Linked DNA regions of Lepisosteus oculatus. The protein of the gene in region 1 purifies or fractionates together with the protein of each later gene. This does not show direct contact. Links are inferred from orthologs where the notes say so. Each region holds a gene or a part of one and is shown in the gene's direction. Other genes may lie near its edges.

Evidence for each region.
Region 2: the proteins of RNA-binding protein with serine-rich domain 1 (region 1) and upf2 purify together in Homo sapiens (co-immunoprecipitation; 5 studies listed by BioGRID and IntAct, with this or other methods). This does not show direct contact. The link is inferred for Lepisosteus oculatus from reciprocal best matches to the Homo sapiens genes RNPS1 and UPF2.
Region 3: the proteins of RNA-binding protein with serine-rich domain 1 (region 1) and ppig purify together in Homo sapiens (co-immunoprecipitation; 3 studies listed by BioGRID and IntAct, with this or other methods). This does not show direct contact. The link is inferred for Lepisosteus oculatus from reciprocal best matches to the Homo sapiens genes RNPS1 and PPIG.
Region 4: the proteins of RNA-binding protein with serine-rich domain 1 (region 1) and gpatch8 purify together in Homo sapiens (co-immunoprecipitation; 4 studies listed by BioGRID and IntAct, with this or other methods). This does not show direct contact. The link is inferred for Lepisosteus oculatus from reciprocal best matches to the Homo sapiens genes RNPS1 and GPATCH8.

What each region holds. Positions count from the first base shown.
Region 1 is NC_090714.1:5,331,741-5,339,540, forward strand, and holds the start of RNA-binding protein with serine-rich domain 1, read left to right. Parts: upstream 1-4,791; 5' UTR 4,792-4,899; coding exon 4,900-4,901; intron 4,902-7,660; coding exon 7,661-7,800. UniProt on the Homo sapiens protein: Part of pre- and post-splicing multiprotein mRNP complexes. Auxiliary component of the splicing-dependent multiprotein exon junction complex (EJC) deposited at splice junction on mRNAs.
Region 2 is NC_090702.1:41,845,780-41,853,771, forward strand, and holds the start of upf2 (regulator of nonsense transcripts 2), read left to right. Parts: upstream 1-4,988; 5' UTR 4,989-5,071; intron 5,072-5,734; 5' UTR 5,735-5,799; intron 5,800-6,794; 5' UTR 6,795-6,822; coding exon 6,823-7,157; intron 7,158-7,547; coding exon 7,548-7,992. Other genes in the region: dhtkd1 (2-oxoadipate dehydrogenase complex component E1), read right to left, coding at 555-824, 1,110-1,304, 1,941-2,152, 2,485-2,637, 3,880-4,060. UniProt on the Homo sapiens protein: Involved in nonsense-mediated decay (NMD) of mRNAs containing premature stop codons by associating with the nuclear exon junction complex (EJC).
Region 3 is NC_090707.1:15,861,098-15,868,703, forward strand, and holds the start of ppig (peptidyl-prolyl cis-trans isomerase G), read left to right. Parts: upstream 1-4,606; 5' UTR 4,607-4,718; intron 4,719-7,606. Other genes in the region: fastkd1 (FAST kinase domain-containing protein 1, mitochondrial), read right to left, coding at 199-324, 564-632, 1,725-2,059. UniProt on the Homo sapiens protein: PPIase that catalyzes the cis-trans isomerization of proline imidic peptide bonds in oligopeptides and may therefore assist protein folding. May be implicated in the folding, transport, and assembly of proteins.
Region 4 is NC_090723.1:3,728,195-3,735,270, forward strand, and holds the start of gpatch8 (G patch domain-containing protein 8), read left to right. Parts: upstream 1-4,073; 5' UTR 4,074-4,137; coding exon 4,138-4,182; intron 4,183-7,076.

The sequences.
Region 1 (7,800 bases):
GTTTATTGTAAATGCTCCTTTGGCAGGGATTACACTAACAAGACGTCTCCTTTGAGTGGCCCTTCTGAGAGGAGACATGTGACCATTTTAGAATGAGACATTCGTGGTCAATTTCCCATCCCTGGATTGTTCAACATGGCAGAAGCAGTAAGAGTAGTAATTAATATTGGGCTGTGCCTAAGAAGGGGAGGCCAGGAGAAGACAATGATGATGCCATAGTTTTTAAACAGAAACAAATAAAATGTTATTTCAGATTCTACTGATGATTTAAAAATGTCACCCTGATTGTTTATTTGAATCCCTACTTACCAAACCACGAGACTAATTCTTAGTGATAACGAAAGGAAGAAGTTTAACTGGAAAAAAACAGCTACACAATCATCAACCAACACAGGGAATCAACATATTGGAAGGCAGATTCTGTCTCAAAGTGATGCTTCAATCTCCTTGAATACTTGAAATTACAAAACTCTCATCAATCATCATTATTCTTTAAATACAGAGGACTCTACTAGCAAAACATGTTTTTATTATGGTTCTACAGCTCTCCTTTATGATATATCAACTGAGAACAAGATTCCAATAATAGCAGTGTTCCGACATAGGAAGAGAAATAATATTGGGAGCTGAAGTGATTCAAGAGTTAAAATCACAAATGTGTATACGTATAAAGGCATATATAAAAAGAACTATAATCAAATCATTATCTTTCTCTCTTAATCCATTTTTTAAGTAGATTGGGCTATGCTAAAATGTTTAGAAAGAACACACCTCTAATAGTCTTCAATGGAAATGTATTAAAGCAATGCTGTAGTGTCCCTAGAAGGGTTCAGTAAGAATCTTACATTTTGGCTCAAGCCCAGGCTGTGGTGTGTCTCTGAGCCAAGATGGCTTCTGAGCAGACAGGGATCTGGAAGCAGGTGTGCACTATTGAGCTGGACACACCTAGGCATTCCACATGAGGATTGTAGGGCTTTTGCGATTGGTTCCTATGGAATTAGCCACGCCCCTTTACTTACTGAAGAGGCTCATAAAAGTGAAGCCTGGGAGAACAGCATTTAGTTTGTGTTTTGAGTTGTAGAAGAACATGAAGATACTTTTTTTTTTTTGTATGCTATACTAATATTCTTGTGGCTTTAGAGTTTCTATGGTAAGAAGAATAAGATATCCATGACTAGGAGAATTCAGCCAAAACACTGTTCCTGAAGCAGGCTGATCTGTGAGACTTGACAAGTTGTGCTGGGGTTTGGAGTTGTGGTAAGTTATGCTGTCATGTAGGGATGGCTAAATATGCTGATGTGTACCAGCTCATGGGTAAGCTATACTGGGAGTAAATTACACTTGCGGAATTCCTAGTTGGTAGATGTTCATAGTACTACATGTGAAAATGAGCTTTAGAAGTGTTAACTAGCTGCTCATTGCCTCCAGAGTTGGTGCAGAAGGTTTTAAATGCATAACTATTGACCTGCCTGCAAAATGGAGGCATACAATACCTTGAATTGATCCATCTTAAATGGCCACTTAAACTGTATGTCTTGGCAAAGTAAGTTTCCACAAGAACCCCATTCCAGGGGACTAGGTTTGTAGGCTCTTAAAGTTATACAGCAGGGAGCGCTCTGTTCTTTGGGAAGTGGGAACCTAGTTTATTGTTCAGCAGAGACCCGACGCAGAAATCCCAGGCAGGGTGCTGCTGTGCTTAGCTTTAAAATTGAAAGTACACTGAATAAAAGCCTCAGTCTAACACCCCTTCCCTTTTGTACTAAAGTGAGCTTCCTCTTGGCAGGGTCTCCACTGGACAAGTCTATGGGATGGTGTGGAAGTCTTCCCATGGTGTTTCATGATCTGGGTAAGGTTGAGGAGCTCATTCTCCAAGCTTGGGATTCCAAAGTGTGAGTGGTCCAAGTAGGAATGTTGTTGGTATTGAATGGTTATTTGGTTAACATGACATGCTGTCTAATAAAGTGTCAGGACTTGGTCATGTAACCTTTCCTTCCCTCCTACTGGGAATAGAGCTCTGTGGATCATGTGAGAATGGAGATGGGGAAAGTGAAGCTCTTCCAGAGGAATGGGACACCCTCAACACTGCGTCTGTAATGTGGAACAAAGATCTGGTTTGTATGTTGATCCTCTGACCTTCTGTCATGTCCTTGGCCCTGATCTTGAGAATTGTATCATGTCTATGCAATAAAGCTAAGGTGTCACTGGGAAGTCTTTATTATTGCCCATTAACTCTGAGGTGACGTGCCTTGGGTTAATCCCCCAATATTTTATCCTCCTGAAGACTTGTAGGGGGACAGTATCTGCCTTCAAGGGTAGCTTTTTTTTTTTTCCAGCAACAATGCTGACTGCAAATAAACTGTATCTTAACATGTATAATGAGGGGAGGGTGGGGGACACTTACTGCCCCTGTCTTAATGGGAACAGATCACACCTTTCACTAACCAAGAAGCTACAGCTCTCCAGTTGTCACATTTGTAATACAAGGCTAAGGTTATTTAACCTATGCAACAGCAGAAGATGGAGTACATCTGTTTATGTAACACATTAGGTATAATTGGTATCTGGAACATGGTAGAACTACTGTTCTTCCTTACTTATTTTGCATGAGTACTTCACATACAGCTCTGTGGAGGGGGGGGTTGACATGTAATGCAGGGGTTTCACAAAGCCTGCACTAGTGTTGCGCATATATAGACATTTTATAGAGACGGGGTTAGAGGGCAGAGCTGTAGCTTACCATGTCAGGACCTAATGGTCTCATCTTCATGGCTGGAAGGTTGGCCTGCTAGTCATTTCACTACTGCACAACAAAATGGAGAACAAGACCAAGTCCCTTAATGTAGATACCACTTTTCTTCATCTAGTTGTATATGGAGGAGTATGTTTAAAGTTCCTGAAAGTATGGAACTGGTTTTGTTTAAACTAGAAGGCAACAAGGAAATGGACAAAGTCCTTGTGTGTAAGCACTTTTCAAGCTGAAGTACATTACAATATGGGTGGAATTGACTTCATCTGCCATGGAAATGCAGCAGTACAAAGTGAGACATACCAAGCACTTAGCACCAACAGACCCTCTACCAGGTACAGAAGTGAGAAATTAAATGACTGTGAAATAAGCCCAGTGTGTACAGTAAGTCTGGGCTGGAATTTAGCCAGGACTCCAGCGTTAACACCCCTACACTTTAATCTTTTTGGACCTCTCAAGCATCTCATTAAAATGATTGAACCTCTTACAGTGAAGGGTAAAATGGAAGTGAACCACCTACAGGTCTCTCCCACCCTACGCACCACTTGCAATAACAGCCTAGATTTTGAGGCTCTGAATCAGTCCTGAGTGGCTTAATATGAGGTTATGCCAGTTTATTTTTGCCAGATCTGCTAATTAGCTGAAGAGGTGAGGAGTTTCTATTGGACAAAGCTCAGCTGTGGTGGGGGGATATGAGTACCTGTGTTTCCTATTGATCAGTTGTTTATCTCCGTTTCTCTATGGGATAAATAAAGTATTATCTATCTATATACTAAAGAGCTGTTTCTATTGGTCAAAAAGAGGAGGCGTCTATTCAATTCTAATTGGTCAGACAAGGATCTGAGCAGCCAATCATATCATTTTCTAGGTAACCAGTGACAAAGCTAGATGACAATCTTCATGTACTGGAGATGGTCGAAGTTCTTGAAAGTTTCGAACAGATAGGATTACAGAAAGACATTTTGTTTAAATTGAATAGAAGGCAACCTTCTAATCTCTGAATCATTTTTACGTCTTCATAAATTCTCTTAGCATTATAATAACCACAAACGAGTTAGAGCAGAGCTCTTATAATAAGTATAATGTTTGACAACAGAATCCACCTTTAACAGACATCGTTGTCTATAGGCATGTAGATATGTATAAAAGTGTTTCGTATGTGTATTGAATGGTACTTATTCCGATTGCTGTGGATGTTGTGCAAACTCGTCGGTTTCGGTTTGACTGCTAAGACAATTGAAAAGCGCGTCATTTACAATCTATGAAATGTTTAGAAGGGGTAAATCTGATTGCGTTTTTACCCCAGTGTCGTAGTTAACTGACCAAAGAAAACAATTTACTGTTAGCTTTTGTCTGCACTTGAAGCATGACGTTTTTTAAACATATAATGTATATATGTTCAATTATTTTAGGTGAAAATAAACATTTTCAAATATTCCCTGGGTCTGCAATGAATGAAACAAAAGTTTCAAATGTTGTTCAACTTAGTACATAGTACCCCTTAAAAAACAATTTCCAGGTTTTTTAACGTTTCCGAATTTACTTTGCATAAAACAGTACAATGGTCTTGTAATACAGGACGTTTATAAGTTTTTTAAATAATTTTTATTTATTTATGCATAAACTATAACAAAAATACAAATACAAGCAAGAGTGCATATAACATTTCAAGACAAAAAAAACATCGTCAGGGGGTATATATTACAAAATAAATTCAAATTATGAAAAAAAGTTTAAACAAAGATAACGTCCCCACTGCTTTCATATTTTTACATTTTTAAATAGTCTGTAGATATTCCTTTACATCCATTTTAAAATGCTTTAAACATATGATTCTTCCCAGACCACTTCATTTTGTGTATATAACGTGCCATTATAATTAAATTTATTACAAACGGTATTTTAGAATTGTTTTGGATGGGGCTGAAACTTAACATGCCATCTTTTTCTCCAAACAAATAACAGCTCCTACAATTTACTCCCCCTGTGCCCAGCCGCTTATTAACACCTCCTTGGGCTGCCTGTGTTACTGTGTTTGAGGAGGAAATTCAGTTACGTTCTCGGCACAGACCACGGCGATACAGTCTGACGAGTTTGGCCGCTTCTGCGTCATCAATCTGCGCCCGCCGCGGAGGGAGACTTTCTGAGCGGAGATGTAAGTTTGTGTGTGTTTTTTTTTTTAGAAACCATCTAATGCAATCCTCGATGTTATAGCGGTTTTAGGACACTGAATCTTGTTTTTATAAATTATTTAGTCGAAAGCAATGCATCTCGAAGTGATATTTCCTGTCGCGGTGTTGGGATTGTGCTTGATTTTGGAGCGGGGGGGGTGTTGCTTGAAAGCAGAGCTTTGAACAGATGAATGAAAACATCAATGGCGGACGAGTGGGTTCGTTTGCCGAGTACAACGGGGGGTTTGGATTGTTTCCACAAATGCACTGAAACTAGGAACATAAAACGTTAATTGTAACTTCGTCTATGAAAATGTAGGGCAGTTTCTAAAAGCTTTACGAACACAAAGCCTAACACGTCTCTGTACTGTCGACGGCTTTATTTAACGTACACAGTGAGGTTTGTGTAGTTCGTGTACACAAACCTCAGCTAAACCTCACAAAATTTCTACTTTACAGTTCACGTAATGCAGAATTCTCTCCATGTGGCTTAATGTGCTCAAGGATCAACAAATACATAAACTCTATAAAGGTAATTGAGATAATAACCCCCCTCCCCAAATCGTGCGTATTTAAGTAAGTTTTCCATTTACGCAATATGGGCTAATAATCATTTAAGATATATATAGTGGATTTCGCTTAATGTAAAAAACACACCGTGGTTTAACTCGCTACATTCAAATGGTTATCCTAGAAATTTGCGCATGGAGAGCTTAGAATTAGTTTTTCAGTGCCTCTTGGAAAATTGTCCCTAAACAGAGTTTTGCACAGATTTTCCCTGAGCAGCATTCTCTAAAGCCACTCGCAGTCTGTTAAATTGTACTTAAGAATATGAAACTGTTAAGACACTGTACGGTGCTTACCTTAAATGGGTTAATGCGTAGGTGCTGACCAAACAGCAATACCGTGTATAGTTGTACACATATTTTAATTATATATCGATAGTGTTGCCATCCATTTTAACGTTTTTGTTTGCATGTATTCTTTTTAGCATTTAAGCTTTTAACATTATGTATTGGAACATGTTTTGAAATATTCCTCCAGTTAGTGTCGCCTTTCTAGCTCGGTTTTTAACATTGGATTTTAGCATTTGCAAACTTGCCACATTAAACATTTAAGCCCTCTTGGAATGGTCTTTGGAACTAGTGGGGCTGCCACTTAAAAGGAGGTTTGTTTGTGTGTTTTGCCCAGTTGAGCCTTTTCCAGATTGGGCTCAGTTACTGAGGGTTGCAGGACAGGCCTAGCTCGATGAGAAGCATGCTGGTTTAAGTGTGCATGTCTTGGCTAAAAAAAAGGAGCAAGTAACGGTTTATTCCATGCTGAAAAGTAGAAATAAGAACCAATGTTTTGGCTGTTGAGCCATTTTCAGTTGTGAGAGAGGAAGTTAACTGGAATATAAGGCACAGGAGAACAGAGGACTGAGTAGGTGGGAATGAGAGAGTGTCCACACAAAGGCCAAGGTGTGAAAAGCTGAAATGATCGTACTGTACACTAACAAAAAGCCATTTTTTGGGGGGTGGGGGTAGTATGAGTAGGTGTTTGGTTTATTTGCAAGGTTATTCAAATAATGGGATTGAAGTTCAGCATATTAAGCTACTATTTCCTGCTTTAAGCTTTTAAGCATGTCCCTGAAAGTATTCATAGAGTGTTGGACTTGCTGGTGCTCTCTTGTGTTCATACAGGATCACGTAAGATGTCAGTGGCTCCCTATTGTGTTGTTTCTTGGGCCTTCCGAAGTTCAGGGCTTGAAGAGCTTCTTCACTGCCTGATAACTTGATCCTTGGGGCAGACGCCTCTTACAGACAGAGCACTTGTTCCTGAAAGGTGACAGTGCACACTGATGCTCTGCTAGGAACACAGTACAGGAACTTTACCCTCCTTCCCTTACAGTCCAGTTCGAAACGCTCCCCCTCAAGTCTTTCTCCCTCTCCCAGTGTGAGATGGTGAAATGTAATATTGTTAAACTTGACAGTGGTTTCTCTTCTCTGTTTATTGAAAAGTCATTTATTCTAACTGGCGGTGAAGATTTCCAGTTAACACAGGGTGTGAACAGTTTGAGTGCGAAACACCACTGACCTTTTACACAGTAAATATTCACACTTTGTGCCATGTAAAATAATACTGTCTAAATTAGTCATTTATACAGACATTTCTTCATGATGGAAAAGGTTTTTAGAGGTAGCATCTGGCTGCCTCCAGATGACTGAATGTTTGAAACTGCATTACAGTTTTTTTAAATAATTATGATCATCTGGTTATTCAGTAAGGTATCTAGAACAGGATTATTTTCTCAGAAGAGCCAACATTTTAAATCATGAAATAGCATGAGATATGAAGCCACAGACATCTTCCCATTTTTTACAGCCATTGCAGAGAAATGAGAAGTCATTTGAGAGACCTCATGGGAAAACACTAATTTCTTTACTAGTTTATGCAGGTGAGACCTCATCTTCAGCAGTCTGAAAGAGTTATGTCATAAGAGGCTATAGGTTTGCAGCTCTGTGCAGGACAGGGATCATTTGGATCACCTCTGAACTCGGCGAGCCCGTGAGAGTGGTTCTGTGAACGCAGAACACGAATGTTAAAAAATAGGATGGGAATAGTGATCATTGTGCTGCTTTCATTGCGGTAGCTGTGTACTACCGAGAGGATCTGCCCGGCCTGGCGGCTTGTTCTGGCTTCCTCCCTCGGGTCGTCCCTTGAAGGATATTGATCACGCTCCCCCCCCCCCCTTCCCTGACAGGGCACCGTCACCCACGAAGAGGAAGGACCGCTCCGAGGACAAGGCCAAAGACCGAGGCAAGGAGAAGGTGGGAGCGAAGGAGGCGGCGGACAAGGACCGCGGCAGGGAGAAGGCCCGCAAGCGCCGCAGCGCCTCCACGG
Region 2 (7,992 bases), on another chromosome or scaffold:
GGTGACGTTTCAGAGCTACTGGAGGGCTGGGTATGTCCCATAACCCTTTATGTAAAGATGTGCCTGTTCTCGGTTTTAAACACACTTCCATCTAGCTTCCACTTTTGACCTTGGTTCATGTTCCACTGTTAAATCTGAAAACGTTTAACCTTGTTAAGGCCTTTGAGGATTCTGAATACTTGGATCAGACCCGCTCATAGCTTTCTCTATTCAAGACTAAAAAGGTTAATCAATTTTAGCCCGTGAGTGCTGACAGGCTCTTTAAGCCTGTCAATGTATGGGGTCTTCTCTGGACTGCTTCTAGAGCACTGTCATTTTTGTACTGTGGCTTACAGTAATGCACACAATAATTGAAATTTGGTTTTACCACTGTATTCAACAAAATTAACATGACAGCCATTCATCTAAATTTTGTTCTTCACCATCAAGTCTTAGCATTTTGTTTAGCTTTTATATTGCTTCACCACGTGGTCCAGAAGATGTAAATGATGTAACCATGGCTCTTGGTGAATGGTTCTCCAAGACAATGGGGTCAGCACCAGTGGCCATCTTACCTGCAGACAGATGACTTTGTCCCCAGGCTGACCGCTGCTGTCTGGAGAGTAGTCCCCATCCTTCTTGGACTGCTGTCTTCCTCTGGTCTTGCCCACTGTGACAGGGTTGATAGCCTCCAGGTGCGAGGGGTTGGGCAGCATAGTGACATGGAGAGGGTGTCCTGAACCAAAATCCAGATCTACGGAGGAGGTTAGGTGGGACAACACGTCTCCAATGGATGGGGAGTTCTCGGGAAACTCGCTGAGACCCCTCATCTTACGAAACATAAGCTGGAAAAAGAGGGGAAGGGGATAAATTATGCCAACAATTTTCGACGGTCTTCAAAGCCACCAAAAGAAAGAAAAATATCTACAGTGTTGCTTATCTAGTAATATAAATAATAATTCTCAGAAAAGTAACTGCTGTGCTTCAGTAAAACCTTTCTTCAGAAAAACAATGATAAAAAAATGAACTTATAAACATTAGACTGAAGACATGAAAGACAGCCTCAGCACGGAGTGATTAAGGAGTGTTTTCTGCATTGTGAAAAATATCTGGTAGTTAAGAATCCAGACCTCCGGTGGAAACTGCAGGAGCCCAGTGAGCAGGTTGAGTCTCCCGCGATGAGGCATGCCCATGATCACGTCCGTCACTCCACTGTACGACACGCTGCGGAACAGCTCATGGAAGAATCCCATCATGCTCTCTGCTCCTTCCCCCCCATACCTCTTTACTGTTGCAAACTTAGTGGCCAAGAAGTGGTCAAATTCCTGCAAGGCAAAACGGATACCTCATTCTGCAAATGCAAATCATCGTAAATGACAGTGGGGAAGAGTTTTCCAGTAAGGTAACATAAAAAGGATCCAATCCAGACTATCCTGTAAGTCCGGTCACCAAAATCTACCTCATCAACTTTATATAACACCTTCTGGAGCTGGAGTGCAGAAACCTCCAAGGATGACTCCTGTGAGCAACGCAAGGCTTTTATCTTAGGAATCATCAGCGCCAACAGCCCTTTGAAAATGAAGCAATACTGTATTCACAGTAGGGTGGCACAGTGGCTGGCATTGCTGCTTTGTCGCGCTGGGACCCTGGATTCAGTTCTGGACCTGGGATACTTTCTGTGCGGAGTTCTCCCCGTGTTTATGAAGGTTTCCTCCGGCTGATTCAGGATACTCCCACAGTCCAAAGACATACTGACAGGTTCATTGGCTTCCTGGTGTGAGTGCATGCGTGTTTGTGTCTCTGTGTGTGTGCCCAGTCATGGACTGGCATCTAGTTCAGGGTGTCTCCTGCCTTGCGCCCCCTGTTCGCCAAAACAGGCTCCAGCTCTCCCGCAACTCTGAATTGGATAAAGCAGTCAGAAAATGGATGGATGTATTTGCAGCGGGACTCCTCTGTCTTACCTGAGATTCCAGCATGAGCTTGGCCAGTTGTCTCCTCTCTTCAGGGGAGAAAGTTTCCTTCTTTAGTTCCTCAAACCTGCTGGCAAACCACTCTCTCTCCTCCAGGCTTTGCAGCTGGCTGGTCTCGATACTGATGTGGCCACAGTAGGTATGGTCCAGGTATGCCAAGACATTTTCCAGTGAGGCCTCTCCTTTCCCAAAGTGAGTTAAGGCTTTATTGAAAACAATAAGTCAGACAGTTAAAGAAATATAGACGGTGATTCCGTGGTGTTGAGCTAGTGAAATACTTAGATACCGTTTCGTAGAAATGGTCCTACTGCAGTCACACTGAGATGTGAACAAGATAATGTTTAAACAAAAAGGCCTTGAACATTTTTGCATTCAAGTGGAAGACTTTTGACTTTCAGTGTAGCAAAAAATCAGAAGCTCAAATTTGTGAGAAGCATTAAGAAGGACGTACCCTGAAACAAACTTTAGTGGGGGGAAAAAGCTACATGCAGTCAGATTTCTCTTTAAAATAAGAAGTAAAACAAAAATCACTTACTGCTTGTATTGAAAGGCCCATGAAGCACCTCAGTTAAGTAACTGATTTCAGGCACCATGTCCATCACTGCCTGCCCAGTGAATAAGGGGTTAATCTTTGCTGCCTTATGCCCATGAGTTCGGTATGCCTCGACCAGCCGTGCCAACCCATGATCTACAAAGACAAGCACAGGAAAAAGATGTTGACTGTAGCTCAGAAAAGCACTTAACTCTCATAATCACTCCTTACTTAACCAAAAGATTACTGCTTTACAGTAATGATTCTTACCTTGCAACACCTACATGTGTAACTATGGTCCTAAGGAACAAGCAAGGTTAATTCCATGTGGAAAAGAGAAGAAAAGAAATACCCGAAGAAGGCTCCACAGCCGAAACACTGTGTTTCTTTTCTTCCCATTTCAGAATTAACCTTTACTTGTTCATTTGCAACCTACACATGCAGACACAGCTACCTACTTGAGTAACTTTAGTCCTAACCTACTACACAATACATCACCTACAGTGGTTACAAATCACCTCACCAGATTAATTCAGGGTGAATATTAGGGAGACTAGCTTACAAAAGCCCAGAGTGCAAATTAAGTTGGGACACCTGGACCTCTCAAATATTGTTTGGGATCATTGAATGGCCTTGGTTAAACACTGCATCTGAAGATAAACTGAAGATAGCGGACATTAATAATGTGGAAGGGGCGATCCAGGTGAAGGATACCAGTTCACTTTATGTTGTGACCACTTCCCTGCTGTGCTACAACACTTTACCTTATTTTAAATAAATAAAAAAATATTTAAATAAATTATTTAAATGCGTGAATAATTCCGATGAGTCCAAACATAATCCTGGAGGGTCGGTGTGTCTGTGCGTTTTCATTTTACCGCAACGTTTAACAAGCAGAACCAGCTGGTTAGTGATGTAAGTGGACCGGTTTCACAGGTTCTCGCAAACGGCCCAGTTCGGCCGAACGGCCTCCTTTCGTGTGTAATCTTTCTAATGTTCTTAAAAGTCAATTGAAGTAAACTTACAGACAACCGAGTCGTCCGGGAGCAGGGGATACGACGCCCCTTGAACTGTAGACGTACAATTTGACACTGTTTATTCAGGGGAGTGATCAGGCCCATATTTGATTCTAGCTCTATAAACCGCTCATAAGCAAAAAAAAAACATTCAGGTTTATAGACAAACCGTAAAATGACCCAAACAACCAGCTCCAAACTGTGTGCGTGGCATTTCACTTGTTTGATTGCAATGAAATGTATGAATGTTTCGATTATTGTAATAAGCTTTATGTAATGTAAATAATTTAACACCCACACGAAATGTGTCCGTTGCCTGTGACACATACAATCTAAATACAATCAGATACATTAAATGCCTTAAAGGCATAATCCTACTGACCTTGATCATGTGCAGAGATATGTTCGTTCTTGATCAATTTAGGGTCTGTGTCAGTCCTCTTTGGTTTGTATCCGTAGACGCCTCTCTCTGTGTGATATAAATTACGTAGAAGTGGCCGGGCAGAATTCAGATAAGTTCTTGTTGCTAAATGGAAAGGTCTAACTAAAATAAATGCTGACATGTTTTACTCGCTTATCTTATTTTAAAACAAATACTTTTTCAGCTTGCACACTGTACAATTAGTCGGCCATACTTTCTCCAGAACAGGGGGTTTAGCAACACCTCCAGCTCCGATTGGCTGAACAGCGTGGGATTTAGTTTCACGGAAAACAGCGAGACAAGCAAAGCGCATGTTCACCTGTTCGCTTTCATGCAACAGTAACTCGAGCGTTTTATATAAGTAAATGAAATGTACGTGTCTGTGGGAAGCAAAACATTAAAAACCAAGCATCTTAAAGTGGGGATAAAATGGTTAGATACATAGCTCCACGTAAAGACCTCACGGTTAGTTTAACTGTTTCGATGGAACTCAATCGTATCATTACATTAACTGCAACAGGGACTATGAGCATCCATTGTTACATTTATATCATATACAAATATTATTATTGTTGTTGTAGAAGTGCAGCTGTGGTATGTTTGTATTTTAACTGGGAACTCTTACAGGTTCAGGATAAATAAGCTATTTGTCTTTCTACAGCGCAAATAAAAATGTTTACTTTTCTGAGTCGTAGCAAAGTAATCGAACACCAGTTTAGGGGGAAAAACAAAACATGTGCTTAATTTTTTTAATTGCATGCTTAAGTATGATCTCGTTGTTTCATAACATCCATGAACATGAAATACATGCCACTAAAATATCCATGCCCGTGTGTTAGCTCTCAGTTCATCCCATCACTGCCGGTTGTGACGTATGGGCTTAATAGTGCCAGAGGTGTCCTCGGATTGCCATTTCGAATTTGAATCCACATTAAATAAAGTTATTATCCAAAAATAGAAATAAACTCAACATTTTAAAATCTAAAATCCAATTTACAATTGTACACAAAGCAGTGGTGCCTTCTACGTCGTGACAATCTACTGCTATTTTATTTAGTTCAGGCGCTACACGTAATACCTGCTGACGAGGTCCTTCGTCTGTACTGAAGGTTTTTTTAACTACAAACAAACCTAATGCTTACATGAATTGAAGGTAATCGTGTTTTAATTTTTCTGTAGAATCTTAGTTTTTTTCCTCCTGTGTGAGGGTTTGTTTATGAATTAATTGGAATGTTGCTGTCAGTAGTCACGCATTTCAGTAAAACCCGAAAAGAGCGTTTAAGTGTTTTTTTATTAGGCCTACTACACCTGTTTATTTTTCTTAAAACAATTGCTTTCTGACAGTTGCTTTTGCTGTAGTGTATGTTCTTTTTCCATTTTTGTCTGTATTTTTCTGGGCCTAAAACGTTTCCGGTGGGATAGCGTTACAGATATAATTGGGGTTTGGAACGTCGCACATTAGTCGAGTTACCACATTAACGTTATTTGTCCCGTGTCGCCAGGTATTTTCACATCTTTTATCTTTTCAAGTGCACCTTTCCTCATGCGCAGAGTTAGATGCGGGGTGATTAACCTGTTACATGGCTGAAATCTTACCCCTTCACCTATCGCACTCGGCTCTGTATCTGCTAACTGCCCAGTGCCCGACAGTTCCACCATTCCGCCTCTCGCGAAACAGCTCAACTGTCAGTCCGCTAACGGTCGGCTTTCTGGACGGGGGTGGATTAGTTTTACAGCACACTGTCCGGCGACAGTCATAAGTTTGTCTTTCTTTCATTCCCCAAGTGTGATTAACTAACCGCGGCTTCGTTTCCAGAGCCTTGATGGATCAAGGATGGCGTTACGCTGAGGAAAACAGAATCTAAGCTCCTATCAGATCTGGTAAGACGTTTCTTTTTAAGGGAACGTCGTTCAGTCTTTCTGCTAAGTGATAGTTGGGAGAATTTCAGCTTTTAAAAGGTTTTGTTTTGGGGTGAAAATGTTACCATGGAAGTTGTATCTTAGTTATAGATCGTGGCAGATTGAAACGTGGACGTCAAACGAAGATGTTGTCTTTAGTCAGTATATATGACTTTCATAAGAGTACTTGTAGCACGATTAATTATTTTAATTAGATCAATTTTATGCCTCTTTTTGTAAAGAATACTTTAGTTATGTATGTGTCAACTTAAGGCTTTATACTTGACTTTGTGGGGATTGTTGTTAAAGAATTACTTTGAATAAAACTTGGGTGTATTTCACCATTATTAGTTTATAGTCAAATACCTCAACCATTATTAATAATTATGTAAATTAATATGGAACCTTTTAATGTTTCTACCAAACGCTTACCTTTTGAAGACTGTTATTTTTACAATTTAAAACCTTCTGTAATTGGAGAATTACAGAATGTAATATCTCTTCTTATTGGAGAAGAGACTGGGGTTGTATGTTTTGGCGTTGTGTTAATTGATAGATTTTCAAGAGAGGGCAGCATGGTGGAGCAGTCGTTAGCATTGTTGCCTCGCAGCACTGGGGCCCTGGGTTCATTTCTGGACCTGGGGTTCTGTCTGTGTGGAGTTTGCATGTTATCCCAGTGTTCGTATGGGGTTCCTCCCTCACTCCAAAGACATGCCGGTAAGTTAATTTGCCTCTGGGAAGATTGGCCCTGGTTCGAGTGGGTGTGTGTCTGTGCCTGTGGGTGTCCTGTGATGGACAGGCGGTTTGTCCAGGGTGTCACCTGCCAAGTACCATTGCTCGTAGGGATAGACTACGGCTGCTCTGCATCCCTGAGCTGGATGAAGCAGTTCGAAAATTGATGGATGGGTGCATTTTCAAGAGAATAGCAGAAATGAGTTTGCAGTTTTGTTAATGAAGAAGCCAATTGTGTTTTACAGTATTGCCTGCGCAGCGTAAGAAGTCAGTATGGATGAAAAAGAGGTGTGTTCTTTCAGCAACAAAGAGAAAGAGAGTGGCGACAGGCGCCCCGCCTCATCCAGGGAGAAGGGAAAGGAAGACCCCAAGGTCAGTGGTAAGAAAGAGAATGCCAAAACTGTAGAGGAGAAGAAGAGAAGGCTGGAAGAGGAGAAGCGCAAGAAGGAGGAGAAGGAGCGCAAGAAGAAAGAGGAGGAGAAGCTGAAAGCTGAAGAGGAGCAGCGCAAGAGGGAGGAGGAGGAGAAAAAACAGCAGGAGGAAGAGGAGAAGAGGATGCAGGAGGAAGAGGAGAAGAGGCAGCGGGAAGAAGAGGCAGCTCGGTTGAAGTAAGACGCCAGCTTCAAATCCAGCCGCCTGTTTTCTTTGTATTGCACATTCTGTTGCTGAAGTAGTGTTTTTATCTCCATTTGAAGATTTGTTTCATTATAAGTCCCCAGTTATTTGCAAACACCACACGCAGTGTTGTCCTCTACACTAGGGCTAATGAAAACAGCTAATGACAAATTATTTAAAATGCTTGTCAGTGAAATGGCCATATTGCAGCTTTTAGTTTTTCTTCCCCATTTACTGTTGAGGGCTAAAATTTAAATCTGTGGTCAAAGTATGCTTCTTGTGTGAATCATTCTACCTGATTCACTACCAGAGATTAGTGGTCCAAAGTATGCAAAAATGTTATTGCGTCTACAGAGATGTATTTTCTGGTGATTTTCTTTCAGAGAAAAAGAGGAAGCGCATCAGCTTCACCAGGAAGCGTGGGAACGGCACCAAGCAAGGAAAGACCTGCGAAGTAAAAACCAGAATGCCCAGGAGGGCAGACCAGAGGAGACGTTCTTTAGCAGGCTTGATTCCAGTCTCAAGAAGAACACCGCCTTTGTGAAGAAGCTGAAAACGATCACGGAGCAGCAGAGAGATTCTCTCTCGAATGATTTCAATAGCCTCAATCTGAGTAAATACATTGCCGAAGCCGTGGGCTCCATTGTGGAGGCCAAGCTGAAGATATCTGATGTTAACTGTGCTGTGCATTTGTGTTCTCTCTTCCATCAGCGATATGCTGACTTTGCCCCATTACTACTCCAAGCCTGGAAAAAGCATTTTGAGGCAAGAAAGGAAGAAAAAACACCAAATGTAAGCAAGCTTAGAACAGATCTGCGGTTTATTGCT
Region 3 (7,606 bases), on another chromosome or scaffold:
GTTTAACAAAGAAAAAAGATCATTTGAATTGCTCACACAGGTAGACCACTGGGTTGCTTTCTTTCTGTACAGCACAGTACAAACTTACACGTGCGGGCAGACTTAAGAACGTCAAAGAGTAACACTGAAAGGGAAAGATAACATGCCTTTCTCATTAACCAAACTTGTAACTGTATGATGTTCCTAGTGCACACACACCTGGCATCTTTTACTGAGTCCAATTTCTGCCTTACAATCTCAGTGATTTCTCCCATTAGAGGGCTAGAGTTCAGGTGCTGGTCATTTAAGCAATTTGCAAACTTGGACAGCGGGGCCATTGGTAACCTGTAAAGAAACAAGCAAATTTTTATTGTGAGAGATCCCATTTTAAGATTCTGTTTGGAATTTAATATATTTTGTTGTTAGATTTCAGAAAACAATACTTTCAAGAAGGAAGAAGCAAAGCACACTTGGTGTGCTGGTTCAATTGAGAACTCTAAGCAATAGTACAGTAACTTGAACTGAAGCAGAAATATTAGTGTTGCTATATTGCTTAACAGACCTCATCCATCGTCAATACTCACCTGTCTATTCTGCGCCATCCTTCTGTAACAAGTTCCTGGACCAGAGAGTCATGTGGTTCCACACTCAGCCTTCAGGTAAAGCAATTAAACAATGTGATGTAGTACTGCAGTGATGTTGTACAGATACTGAGTACTTCATGGTGACACACAAAATTGGACATAAAACAGGAAAGTCAATTACGAATTACCATGTTGTGAACAGGTGTTAATCTCAGAGCAGACAAAATGAATTACATCACATTATTCTGAGCTCATTTCCACATCCCAGTCTTTCTTAAATTGCGCTTAGGGATGATTATTACCATTAGTAATCTGGACAATAAAAAGAGATAACTTATACTATCTGCCTTGTGCTTTCTCTTTCGAGATTATTTTGTAAATGTTAATATGGAAAGAAAAAGCAGTGGTATCGATTGGAGGGAGTTAGCTGTCAATAGCAGATACCGTCATAAAGATTAAGAGCAACCCATAACCGAGATTGGCTCGGGCCAGTTTAATATACTTGCTCTTTATCTACGTGAAGCAGAGGACACAAATTAAAACTACATTGAAGTGCTTTTAACTCTGAGAACAGGAGGCTCCTCTCTACACAGAGGGCGGTGTGTGTCTGGATCATGTTGTCAAGGCCAATATTCTGGTTTATTCCAGGAAATAATTAATAATAATAATAATTATTATTATTATTATTATTATTGTTATTATAAATAATAACAGTTCCTTCTTCTTTAGAAGAGTCTTTACTTAACTGGTTCCATTCTTTACCCCTCTGCTCCTATTGTATTTAGAACCACTATTGTATTCTCACCGTGTTGACCTAGTGTATTTTTTATTGTTTATTTTTAATTGTTGTTGTTGCTGCTGTCATTCTGTAAAGCACTTTAAGAAGCCACCTTTAGGGGCCCTATAGAAAATAAAGTGTATTATTGTTGTTATTATTATTAAATAACTGATGGAGATCAATGAGCTAACAAAAACCAAATGAGCTAGATGGAGTTAATGTTCCTTACTGGGCACACAGCTGGCCGAAGCCAAAAGCAATGACAGCTACACTGACGATCTTCGTTGTCAGAAACTCGCTCAGGAAAGTAAGGCGAAGCTGCTTTGTGCTCTCCCTTGAACAGCGTTCGGTTTGTTCCCCACCCGCAGAGCCTGGCGTCTCACCTGAGCACGTTGTACAGCATGTCCACGAGCTCGCTGTCCGGCAGCTGCTCCACCTTGTTTTCCGCCAGCACGCACAGGGCGAGGAACTGCGGGTGAGTCCTGGTAAACTCCAGGGTGCGCAGCATCTGGGGCTTCTCCTTCTGGAACTGCCAGAGCCGGCTCACGGCCAGGCCCACGTGCGCCGCCGACAGCTTGGCTTTGTTCCTGCCCACGACGTCCAGCACCTGCTCCTCGCTCCCGCTGGCGAAGAGCTGCTCCAGCACCTGATCGCTGCCTGCCACCCGGGGGTGCAGGAGCCTCCAGGAGGAGCGACACACACTCCGCAGCCGCAACATGGCCCCGGCCCCTGTCCCCCCCCCCCGCTAGCGCGTGCCGAAGGAACAGACCGCCGTGCAGGTGCTCATCTCAGGCTGGTGAGCTTCACAGCCAAGTCTGTGCCCTGCTTCACGGATCCAAAGACCTCAGAAAACAGCCTAAACCATTCTGGCCCAGCAGATTCTGGAACACGAGACAAAAGGGAAACAAAAACAGTTACAATTACATACCTGTCGTGGCAAGGAAGCATTCATACAACGTCCAAAGGCGAGGAAGTCTTTTCTCCGTTAGCAATAAAGAGCAAACACACTGCAAACCTTGAGAGAATAACAACTGTAGGGTATTTGCATATAGTTTATCAGATGTTGAGGTTAAAATAATCTTGAATGAAACTTAATTAGGATTTAATCACACAATTCATTGGCCCAAAGTCTAAGAAAGACCACTACAGGCCCAACTATTGACGATCTTTCAGGCAAATGTCGGATGAGATCTTTTTGGTTGAATAAGCTGCAAGCAAACGAATGAGCGAAAGACCTCCCACCTGTCTTGTTCTCACGTACTGTAAGTATTCATAGTCCTTAAAGTTACTGTCAGCTCTGTTACCGCCTGTCTCAATAACGAAAGAGAGACTCAGGCACTCAAGTAAAGATCAGGAGAACATGCAGTTAATTAACAGAAAATAGGAAGCACTTTTTTAGATAAGAGAACTTTTCGGTCCAAAACAAATTACACAGCCATGCTGTCAGAGCTATAACCAGTAGGAAAGAGCAGTAAAGTATTTCGAGAATGATTACACTGTAGCAATTTAAAAAAGCAAGGAGAGTCAAACTCCTCTCAGTTGTAACCTTTCCTGTACTGTGCACCAAGGCAAGGCAGAGATCACTGTCTGCATATGATCTCTAAGAGTACTGCACACAGCTCACCAGGGGAACTGGGGGAAACTGGTCGACCTTCACCTGCAGGTGGGTTACACTATATGGGACTTAAAACAGTAAACTGGCAATTAAAGACCGTGATGAAACACAAGGTAAAACATTAAAATATCACCACCGCAAGTAAAATTAACGACCATAACAGGTCGCTTTTTAAAAAATAAAAATAAGACTTTTAATCTAATGATTTCAGTTTTGGGCTAAAGGTAAACTGTTCTCAACTTCACAAGCAGAGAGCAGTCGTGCTATTCCACGTTCTGTTACTAGTAAATAATTTTCTTGTAGCTGCTGTTCAGCTGAAAGTTTGAAAAAACGAAGCAGAAATACAGCAATCCTCGTTGATTTGTAATCTACAGGTTAGTTTATTATTTATTAATTCGGTTTATTTCAAGAGCTGGTCCAAGACACACTACCCTCTTACTGTACTGTGGGCTTATTCGCCTTGTTATGGTCAATGGACTTTTTTGTATCTCAAAAAATACTTACCGAAACATAAAAAACAGGTTAAACATCCCGACAGCGAGCAAATTATATTTACCTTTACGTAAACCAGTTTACGGGTAGATCACTTGCCTGTGTGCAGGGTTTCGCATACAGATAGCTACACTACAGCAGATGCTAACGTGCTTGAGACGCACGTGTAAAGAGTCAGGTTAACATTCTTGTGCCAGACATCTTTCACGGCACTGTGGTCAATTACAGATTTCAAAAAGATAACGTCGTGTTTAAATTACCTGGATTTTATCTGCAAATAAAATGCAATTCAACAAATTCCTATTTCTCGAATGTCACCCTTATTTAACTGCAGAAAGTACCATCTTCCTGCCACAAAATGGCCCGTCATGTAACATTGTTTCAGGGACTATCGCTATTTTAAAACATCATAAAAAAGTTGTACCCCTCAATGTAATTGATAACAAAGGTTAACAGAATTCGAGACGCAGAAAACATGTTATGAGGAATTGTGCAAAGCAAGCATTCCCCTTAGTCGTATTTTATTAATACTATATAAGGAAACAACAAACGTTGAACATTCTAGATGACCCCTTTTTCTTTACAGTAACCTTTCGAATATACACGCCTATAAAAGCATCCATTTAAAAAATATTGTGGCCATCAACCCAAATTATACGGTACCTATATTATATAAAAAGTTAGAAAAATGTTTTATTTAAAAGTGAATTGTTTTGCCTCGGGGATGTTTGGGTTTTAATATCATACAAATATTTGTCATTTTTATTTAAACTTAGATGGACAACTTTCAATTTGCACTTTTAAAGAACGTTATTGTAAAGTATTATAACGAAAAATGCCGGAATACTGTTTTTACAGGTGAGCAATGAAAAGGATAAGCTAGTAAACAGCTGACCTTTTGTGACAGTTTTCTCATTTTTTGATTCAGACTTATTCTCTACAGTTAATTTTGCACAAGTTTTAATTCCTTATTATTCTCTATTCCTCTAAACCTGTCTTAAAAAGTGTTGTAGGGCAGGTTCTTCTGTAAAATATGCGTTTTGACCTGTAAATATCTCAAGGAAGCAGGCAGGGGGTTGGTGATGTACAAAACCGCGCATCTATGACCCCGCTCAGCCGCGCTGACTGGCGGATATTTACCCGAAATGCATTGACGTTTCTCTTAGCGCCATCTTTAGAAATTAGTGAAGGAGAAAAACTGAATAAGGCTCGTCTTCCTTCTGGGTTGGGGAGCAGCCGAAGGGTGCCGGCAGTTACAGAATTTACTGAGGTAAACGCTTATTGAACCGCGTACTACCAGGAGACAGCTTTCGTGTAAAGAGTCCGAGTATGTGCGAGCAGGGGGCAGGGGGAGAATATTTTTGTTGTTGCGGTGGTGGTTCGTCCCTGCGGTGAAGTTGAATTAACTGCTGTGTGCACCCAGGCGCAGGCCTTAATCCGGGGACTCGAGTAGTCGCGGCCGCCGCAAACGCTCAATGAGCCGTGGACGGCGGGGCTGGAGAGGTCGCGCGTCCCGTCCGCCCGGAGGGGGGCGGCAGCCCCCCGTGGAAACTGACGGAGGTTTTGCCCGGCCACAGCGCGGCTCTCCGTTTTTTTTTCCGGGACGAGGCCTGCATCAGTCAGAGCCGGGGCGGGAGTAACGCCGGGCGCTGGTTTGTTTGAATGAGTGCGGGGCTGCCGGGCTCCATTTCTCCTGCCGCCTCGGGCAGCGAGCAATGAGCGGCTCCAACTTCTCCAGACGTAACACACACGCATCGCCGTTTGAAACTTTTTACTTTTAAAATAACACCTTGACCCTATCGCATTACCGGTTTCTACATAAATACATGATTGTGCGGTACGTGGGTACTGTTTAATTCGGAGGGAAATGGCTAACGTGTTTATTTTGAAGTTGTCCCATATCTCATATCACGTCGTCGCCAGGTACGGAGGGTGACCCCTCTCCTTCCCGAGTTGAGGGGGTCAACATTTTCGCTCGGTAATTCATCACTTACAGTTTCTACCCTGCAGCGTGAACGTTGCAACTGAATTGCCTGCGTTTTGCATTTTTGCGCTTGCTTATTCCCAGACGTTTAATTGCCGTTTCTAATTAATGTAATTGTTAATTAGGTAGTAAAGTGTGGTACTTTGCTTTGCATCGCTTGCAAAGTTATTATTTTTGTTCACAGATCACTTTAAAACGCAAGACACCTTGAATGATGGTCCTGCGTAAATTAAAATTGTCCCCTAGATAAACCAATGTCGAGCAAGCTCTTTTCTGTCATTTTTAGATAACCCACTGCTCTTTTTGGTTAAAGGCATTTTAGAGTCGCGTTTTCAGGCTGTTGTAACATTTCTTTCTTTGTAGAACTGTGTTTTTAAGCATTTGTTCTCACCCCTGTCCTGGTGTTGATTTTAGCTGAGCAAATTTAGTTGAGTCCTTTACAGGTAGCTGCAGCAGCATGCGTGGGCTGCAAAGGAACAAGTAAAAGTTTATTCCATGCTGAAAAAAGAAGGTAAACGCAACGTTTCGGCTGAGCACACCCGAAGAGGCTCCACAGCCGAAACGTTGTGATTCCTTTCTTCTCTTTTCAGCATGAAATAAACCTTTACTTGTTCCTAAGAAGATGCTCGATTGGCACCTTGGGAAATTAACAAGTAATAGTATAATTACTTTATTACTTTAGTAATAGGTTTATTACCAAACACAACGTTTCGGCCGTGGAGCCTTCTTCAGGTGTGAGCAGGGGGCTTCAGGTTGCTCACACCTGAAGAAGGCTCCACGGCCGAAACGTGTTTTCTTTCTTCTCTTTTCAGCATGGAATAAACCTATTACTTGTTCCTTTGCAGCCTACGCATGCTGACGCAGCCACCCACCTGAATTACTACAACCTTTGGAAATTAAGTTTGTTTTTTGTACTCGCACATCGGTGTTTTGAAGTTACTTATGAAATGTGATCTTTGAAAGACATCCTCCAACATGTTCAGGAACTGAAAAGAAATGGATTTCAAATGAATCCTCTTGTTATTCCAATTAAGGGTTCCACCTGTAAAGGAAAGCTCAGCAGGGACAGAAACCAACTCTCTTATTGATGCCCAGTACCACATTTGGAAAGCCTTGCTGTAAGGAAAGGCAGACTTTTATCAAAATGACTGGTTGTGGTTGTGGAAGAGCATTTCAGATATACCTGCATCTTATTTCTTGCCATTTTGATTTCCTAAAAACAAATTTTGCTAAAAATCTCAAAACAGTAGTGGCTTACATGTTTAAAATAATTCCCGTGTTTTGCTTTGTTTCCATTCCACATTGTTCTTTACTGTTCCTGCTCAGTTTCTTCTGCAATACTAACTTGACCTGGCAGCATACATAGCTTTTTAAAATGTGTGATAATGGCTACTGAATGGAACATATGAAATCTTCACATTCAGCTTTATAAACTTTTTCCAGAGGGTATTTTTGGAGAAATGGTTCAACATGAATGGTAAGTGCAGTATCGTGAAGAATATTTATTTGCATATGTGCTGTGCGTTCATGGGGAAACAAGACTTGCGCTTGCCAGTGAAAATTGGAGATTATTACGGTTCTTGCAGTAGGTAGTGAATGAAGAATGGTTCCACTTCTCAGTCGCCCCTCTTGTTTTATTTTGTACCGCCGATGGAGATTTATGTTAATAGGAGTAACATGGGCAGTGCATTTACCCATTGTGTGTTAAACAGGATGTGCAAAGCTTGCGCACAACTGCAAATGGACCGTCCTGGTTATATTTTAATGAAATTGAGAGAGACTGTATAGATAGATACTTTATTGATCTGTGAGGGAAATTGCACTGCAACGGCAGCTTAACACAGACAACACAGCCACAGTGTAACAAATGATACAATAATAATACAATACATACAATACAATCAGTACAGTGAGAAGTGCACTAAGAAGAGTTACTCGCAGTCCAGAACACACAGAACAAACCAGAACAGAACAGTACACCAAAAAGTCGTATTGCACAATATAAATATAAATGTATTGCACAGGTCCCTGGCATATAGTGCACAAAAACGGTTGTAAACGGGAAAAAGAACAACAGATGCATCAGTTTACCGTTCAGTCCAGAAACAGGTCACTGTCAATGTTGCCTCTGCCCAGACGCAAGGTGGATGCGTTGTACAGTCTTATGGCAGAAG
Region 4 (7,076 bases), on another chromosome or scaffold:
TCCCGAAACTGAAGTAGCTGATATACTCCCTCACGCACACATTGTCCTGCACCCTCGCTAGAATCAACGGCCCAAATTCACTGGTTAACAATTTGCCCGCGGAGAAGTTTAATTTTGTGTGCGTATATGTCACCCTCAGTTTTAAATTTAATCAGCTCTTAATGATGTACCTGTATATTCTGGACAAAACACATTTTGAGATACACAAGGTATGAGAAGGAAAGGGAGAATAGTTCAGCGTCTTCCCAATTCGGGGTTAGACTGCCCTCTGCTGGAAAGTTTATATTCCTGCAGCGCTCGTCATCCCAGAGCGGCGCAGAGCTCTGACGTAACTCGCAGCAGTCTGCACCTGCAGCCCAACTGCGCAGCAGATCGGCTAGGGCGTGCTGAAAATCTGCTTCGGCAATTGAATTAAGAGGGAACTTTAGGTTAAAATGAACGTTTTTATCAAGAACATGTTTATTTGTTCTTTTGCGGCTTTAATAATTTTCATTGTCCCTCTCTCCAGGACAGTGTAATTGAATCTCCTCAGTAATATTGGCTACACTCTGTGCCCCGTACAGAGTATTTTGCGTCATTTCTTATTTCAACAGGCTGTAGTATAACCCCAAGCCAGTGTATTGCACCAGTGTAAACAATTCTGCAAGACAAAGCTTCTGTTCCAAAGAGCAGTGCAGAATAAGATGATGGAATTCTTCAATCTTGTATCAGAAGAAGATTCAATCTTCAATCTCTAAAAAAAGGCGCCATCCTTTGGAATGAGATGTAAAACCGTGGTCCTGACTCCCTCTGGTAATTAAAAATTCCAGGGCATTTCTCAAAAAGAATAGGGGTGTTACCCTGGTGTCCTGGTCAAATTTCCCCCTGGCCTTTACCAATCATGGCCTCCTAATAATCCCCATCTATGAACTGGCTTCATCTCTCTTTTCTCCACCCCACTGGTAGCTGGTGTGTGGGGAGTGTTCTGGTGCACTATGGCTACAGTTGCATCATCGAGGTGGGACTGCACACTAGTGGGTGTGGAGGGGATCCCCATTACCTGTAAAGCGCTTTGAGTGGAGTGTCCAGAAAAAGGACTATATGTGATAAGAAAACTTTATTGGCCAGATACAATTTCTTGCATTAGGAATTTGTCTTTTCGCAGACCCCAGCCTGCTCTCCATGAGACACACAGGCAGGGAGAGAAGCTGGGGGTCAGAGCACAGGGTCAGCCATTGTTCAGCGCCCCTGGAGCAGGTGGGGTTAAGGGCTTTGCTCAGGGGCCCAACGGAGTAGGACTCCTCTGCCAGCCACAGGATACGAACCGGGAACCTTCCAGCCACAGGTGCAGAGCCTTAACCACAGTGCCTCTGCCCCGCCCCCTCATGTGGATAGATAAGACTTAATTGATCCCAAAGGGAAATTGATTAAATTGATGTATAAGTGCAAGCAATTATTATTATTATTATTATTATTATTATTATTATTATTATTGTTGTATTTGGTTAATATTAACAAAAACAAATGAGGGTGGTAAAGAAGTGACTAAAAAACTTTGTACTGTCTTTCTGGTAAAAGACCCAGCTAGCTGTTCGGTTTTGGAAGTTGCCTGTAAGGGGGTATGCTAGTCTATAAAGTCATAATAAGGGGTTAACATTAGAAGGCCAAGGAGGTTTTTGAATGTCTGCTTGCCACATCAATACCTATCGTCGTCACCTAGTAACAAGCCTGGCTCAGCTGGGAATGTTGGGACATGCTTGGAATGAACATGCGATCAATGCCCTGACCAGACCAATCCTACCTGCGGTTCGGGATAACGAACGCGTAGTAGGCCGTGGGGTTCTTCCGTGAAGGCCGTTCACAGAATGGTCAGCAGGGGGCGCACCTCGACCTACGATCCGATTTCAAGTCTGACTTTCCTAATTGATCGTTATTTTTCTCTCTTTTCAGGGGAGACTGCCCGTCTCTGCTCACGGTGACACGTCAAAATAAAACCTTTGCGATAGTAAATGAGCATTGCACAACATTACTCTTCCAGTGGCTCCTCAGTTACTAACGGTTTTGGTTTAAAAAAAGGCACTCTTCCTTATAACAGTTCATATCCAGCACGGTGGACAGCATACTACGTCAGTGAAGTGCAGTATAAATGCAGCGCAAGATCAAGTGGCATCAGTGATGCACAATACAAAGCAAGCAAGTAAAAGAGCAGAACGAAAGCTGTTTGTGAGCTGATGTTTTGTAGTGGGCAGTGTTCTACAGGGAACAAGGGACACAGCCCTGTTGTTTCTGGGTCCATACTGGTCCTGGTTCACTGCCGACTCGGTGTAGCACTAGGAACGGTCTGACAGACTCAGCTGTGCGGCAGACTTAGACACTTTCCATTGTTCAGCTCTTACCACTCAGGGTTTTCCTTTCTTTCCGCTGAAGCACAACACCGGTTATTCTCTGCCTTCGGAATTGTAGCCACTTGGCTTTAAGTCCTATCAGATCTCAGTGCTGTAGAGCGAAATGTTGCCTTTGAGCACGATGGATGTGTAGAGAGGAACACACTATGTGAATAACAAGCCACACCCGGCCAGAATTTATTTGACTGGTAAACGTAAATGGGTAAACACTTCACATATTTTATATATAATTCAAGTATTCAAATGCCTCAGAGACGTTGGCATTGTAAACTCTTCAGAATCAACACCGAGACACGAACCCCAGCACACAAGTGTAATTTGCAAGAAGGTACATTTAAAACTGGGAACAGAGGGCACGTTTTACACAGAGTTCTGGCTGTCAGCAATAAGCTACTTAGCCATTTTGTTGAAGCCGATACCATTTATTTTTTCAAGAAATGTCTGAATGATATCTATGGATTTGCCTCTACCATCCATGGGGATTAGATGGTCCACTTCGTGTTTGTGGTCTTTTTAAATGTTCTTATATGCTGCTCATGATTGGTTTAGTTTGAGTATGATGATACAAATGTTCTGAAGTGTTTTTCATTCATGTGAATGACCAATGACTACATGACAAGCTTGTTTTTTCTCTCACTCAATCTAAGCTGTATTAATAACTAAATTTTTATCATTGTACCAAATACCAGTGGAGGTTTTGAGTAACTTGCTGATGCACATCACCTTCATATACTGTAACACCTGATTGTGTCCAAGCCTTTTCCACAGTAGTGTATATAATAATACGGATAGGACTGGTTTAAATGGAGATAAAAGGAAAGATAATTCCACAGCAATACATTATGTAAAAGAAAGCCGGTGGTAATATATAATTACGCCTTATTGTTAACAGAAAGCAACATTTCTGTCTCAAAGAGATGAGTCACTTAAATAGACAGGTTGGAAAAGTATAGGAAAATGCTGTGTGTATAAAAGCTTTTTTGTCTCTTGCGAGACACTCGTCTAAATTATTATTATTAGTCATCCGTTATTTTGTGCTTGGTTAAAGACCATAAACGACAGGGAAGACGAAATGATCTACATTCGACCTGAGCCTGAAGAAAACGTTTTATTTTTCTTTCCCGTATATTTTTTCAATACTAAACTAAAGCCGTCTGTAAAATATGGGTCCTTTTAAAAAATGCAAGTGTAGGAAGGAAACTGTTACAACCATGAATATACCATTGCCATTTTTAAGAATGATCTCTCTGCAGTTGACCGTTCTGCAGTTGAAATCCACTATGCAATAAATAAATTCAGATTAGGCTTGATAAACTCATACTACAAGGTAACAGCCGTACGCCTTGTCGATAGGTTTGGTAGTACACAGTGCGCTATTCAGCTAAGGACACTAGCACACTTTATTCCCTGGCACAGTAACTCAATTCTCACACATAATACATTCAATCTGTAGTTCGAGAGGAAAAAAAGGCATCTCTTCGCCAGCTTTTATTGGTTAAAGGTTCTGTTCATCAGGAGAATTACTTTCTTCAATTGGACACAATCTTGTCAATGTTTGGTGTTTCGGCAAGGCTCCTACGGCGGAATGAAAAAAAAAGATGCACTGCTTGGATTGGTCGAAGGGCGCGTCAATCAGAGGGCAGGGGGCGCCGCGATTGGTGCTCGCCGGCGCTCGTCACATGGCGGTAGGCGTTTCCGAAGCCGCAGGGCCAGGTCGGGCAGAAAACGAGACGACGGGAGCTGCAGCAGGAAAATGGCTGACAGGTTCTCTCGTTTCAACGAGGATCGTGATTTCCAGGTAAATGGATAAACGGCCGGTTCCGGGCGGCGGGGGAAGGTCTCCCCGGGCGAGGGGGGCAGCTGTAGCGTTTCTGAAGCGCGTCAGGGCGCGGAAATGGCAGCACAAACCGAGCTTCTTGGGCGCCCTTGGGGGCCGTGGGAAGTGGTGTAAGGGAAAGGCGGCGCTGTGTGCATTAGCAGGGTGGTAAACAAAAAAAAAAGGCGCTAGGTCTCGGGGCTGTGCTGGGAGGGAGGGCTTGTAGGCGCTGACGACCCGTGTTTTGCTCCCCGCGGCCGTGCTCTGAAGCGCGGTGCCCTTGCAGTTGCGGGGTGCGGGGCAGTGTGTGCATGGCCGGGGTACGGCGGGGAGGGCACTACCGCACTGCCATGGCCGCCTGAACCGAATGGCGATGGCGAATTGCACATCTCACCTTCCCACTCCGCCGGGGCAGAGCTTAACATGCCTTCTAAACTGCGGATGTTGCTCTGCGTTTAACCAGTTCATACCCCCCCGTGTGAGACGCCGAGCCCCTCATAGCAGTGGCACTCAAGATCGACGGATTTTGAGTTCTAGTGCCACCCTCTTTAAAAAATGTGACTTCGTGAGATCCACACTACTTGAGCTCTTTTCTTCTTCTTCTTCTGAATAAACTATGCCCCGCGAAAGCGACATTTTGGTGTTGATTTCACTCTTGTCGTCAACGGCGATAACCAGCTGGAGTTAAAGGCAAGTTGAAAACAATGATGCCTATTCAAGAGCCTCACGCCTTCCTGGCTGCCGCCGCCTCCTCCTCCTCCTCTGTGAGGGCTCGTGTAGTGATCTCTGCGCTGCAGAACCAGATATACAAGTTGCAGGAATGCTGAGAGATGTCCTCACTCTGTTGTTGGTTTAGTCTTAGTCATAGTCGACTCCCAGGAGATCCATTCCCTGTCAGCAAAATAACTTCTAAGCTGGAAGCATTAACAAGCTAAATATTTTATATGGATTTGGTAGCATCTTGTTGTACTGGTAATAGAAAAGCTCGATGAGGGTGGATTATGTACTGATTGTGGAAGTGCGTCTCTCTTGATAGCGGTGGCAGTCGAGTTTGGAGTGGTTATTCTGAGGGTGAAATCGCACCTTTATTTGGGGGCATATGATAAGTCTGATCAGGTGGTTATGGTGCACTGCTGGGCTGTGTTAATTTAGGGAGCCTGCTAAGCTTAAATTAGTTGTGCCGCTTCTTCCCCCGAAGAAGAGGCCATGGGAATGGGATCTGGTCTGGCAGTTCAGGGAGAGGTTTGACGAGGAGGGTGGGAGCTGGGGTGTACCGCAGGCCAGCAGTGTGGGATAAGGAGAGCTTCCAGCTGTGGGATGCTGGGAGTTGCCGTTGTGCCTGCAGTGGTTGTGCAGTACCTAGTTATAACCTGCTAGTTTATCATCCTCACGCCGCTAGTCAAAATGGTCTTGAGCCACAGTTCTTTGCATCAAGCTGTTGAAACTTATGGGATGATGACACAGCGAAGTTAGGGTTGGAGTGAGCTTCTCCTTTTCTGACCGGTCATGGGCATTTGATGTCGCCTCGGTGTGTGTCTGTCGTCTCAGCCGTCAGCCCAGCGGAGTCAGGTCTTTCCTTGGGATTTCCCAGTCTGCACCGTGGTGCAGGCATGACAGATGGGTTCCATCTGTTTTCTCCCTAGAGTAGGTGCTCTCGTCCAGATGGTGATGACCCCTGGGACTTCTTTCCGGTGACCAGCGTGGCCTGGAGCAAGGATAATACAGTACAGGACCCTCGCTCGGTTTCATCGCAGGCCTGAGATACCGAAGAGTTGAATTAGCCGTCAGCTGCTGAGATGATTAAAGAGCTGGGCGAATCTTGCAGTGGAATAGATCTTAAGGATCTACATTTGTTTGCTCCAAAGGGACATAACAATCTAGGGCTATGAGGTGGTGAGGAAAACAATCCTGTGAAGTGAATTAATACAGTAAATAGGGGGGAAAAACCTTTCACTAATACGTTAGGCTGCTCAGTCATTGTCTAAGTGGACTTGTCAAAAACCCAGATATTATTCCAAAGCTTCAATACGGCACTCTATAAGGTTCGAAGTGGACATCAGCTTAGTGTCTCAACTTGCTGAAAACCAGAAGTGAAAATTTAATAGAGCTGTTCTGTAGGTCAGGGTTTCTCAGTCCTTGTCCTTGTGGGTGACTGACTCTTGTCGTTTGGTACTAAAATTCTCCACTGATTTCGTCTGGTAAAATATTGTTATATATATTTTTTTTTTACTGGTGTAAAAAACAGTGACCAGGTGTTTGGGAGTTCAGCCCTTGTAGAATTGACAGTTCTGTATGGAGATGTTCCACACAATCTGATCTCCTCCTGTGTGGGCAGCTGTGATTGGCAGCCTGTTGAGAGCTCCTAGTATAGGTACAGAAGACTGACGTGTATTAAACAGTTGAAGTGCAGACAAACCAGAGTTGTTTTGACTTAGTTTTTCGTTTAAACACATTTAATTTCTGCCTCATTTAAAACTGTTGAAGGCTGGCATGAATCATTTCTATTTCTGTTGGTCTTTAAGCAGATTAAAGTCATGTTATTCAAATTTTCTATTGTTTGTGGACTACATTGTGCTCCTATAATATACTCTTTCCCGGAATTTGATGCATTGTCAGTTTATAACGTTTATCCATTTAAACGACAGGTCCTGTATGGAGGATCATTAATGCCGTCTGGGGTTTCTTGGAATCTAAATTGTTACTTGGGGAGTTTATCATCGCAATTTTTAACCTACCTAAATAAGAGGCCATTTATATTTTCATAGGTTTTGATTTCTTTTTTGAATTCTTGCAGAAATAGACCCACAAGTAGACTGAGGTCAAATTGTGCATTAGTTTCTTTCAGTTCTCCTCTGCTTTAATGAGTACTTGATTTT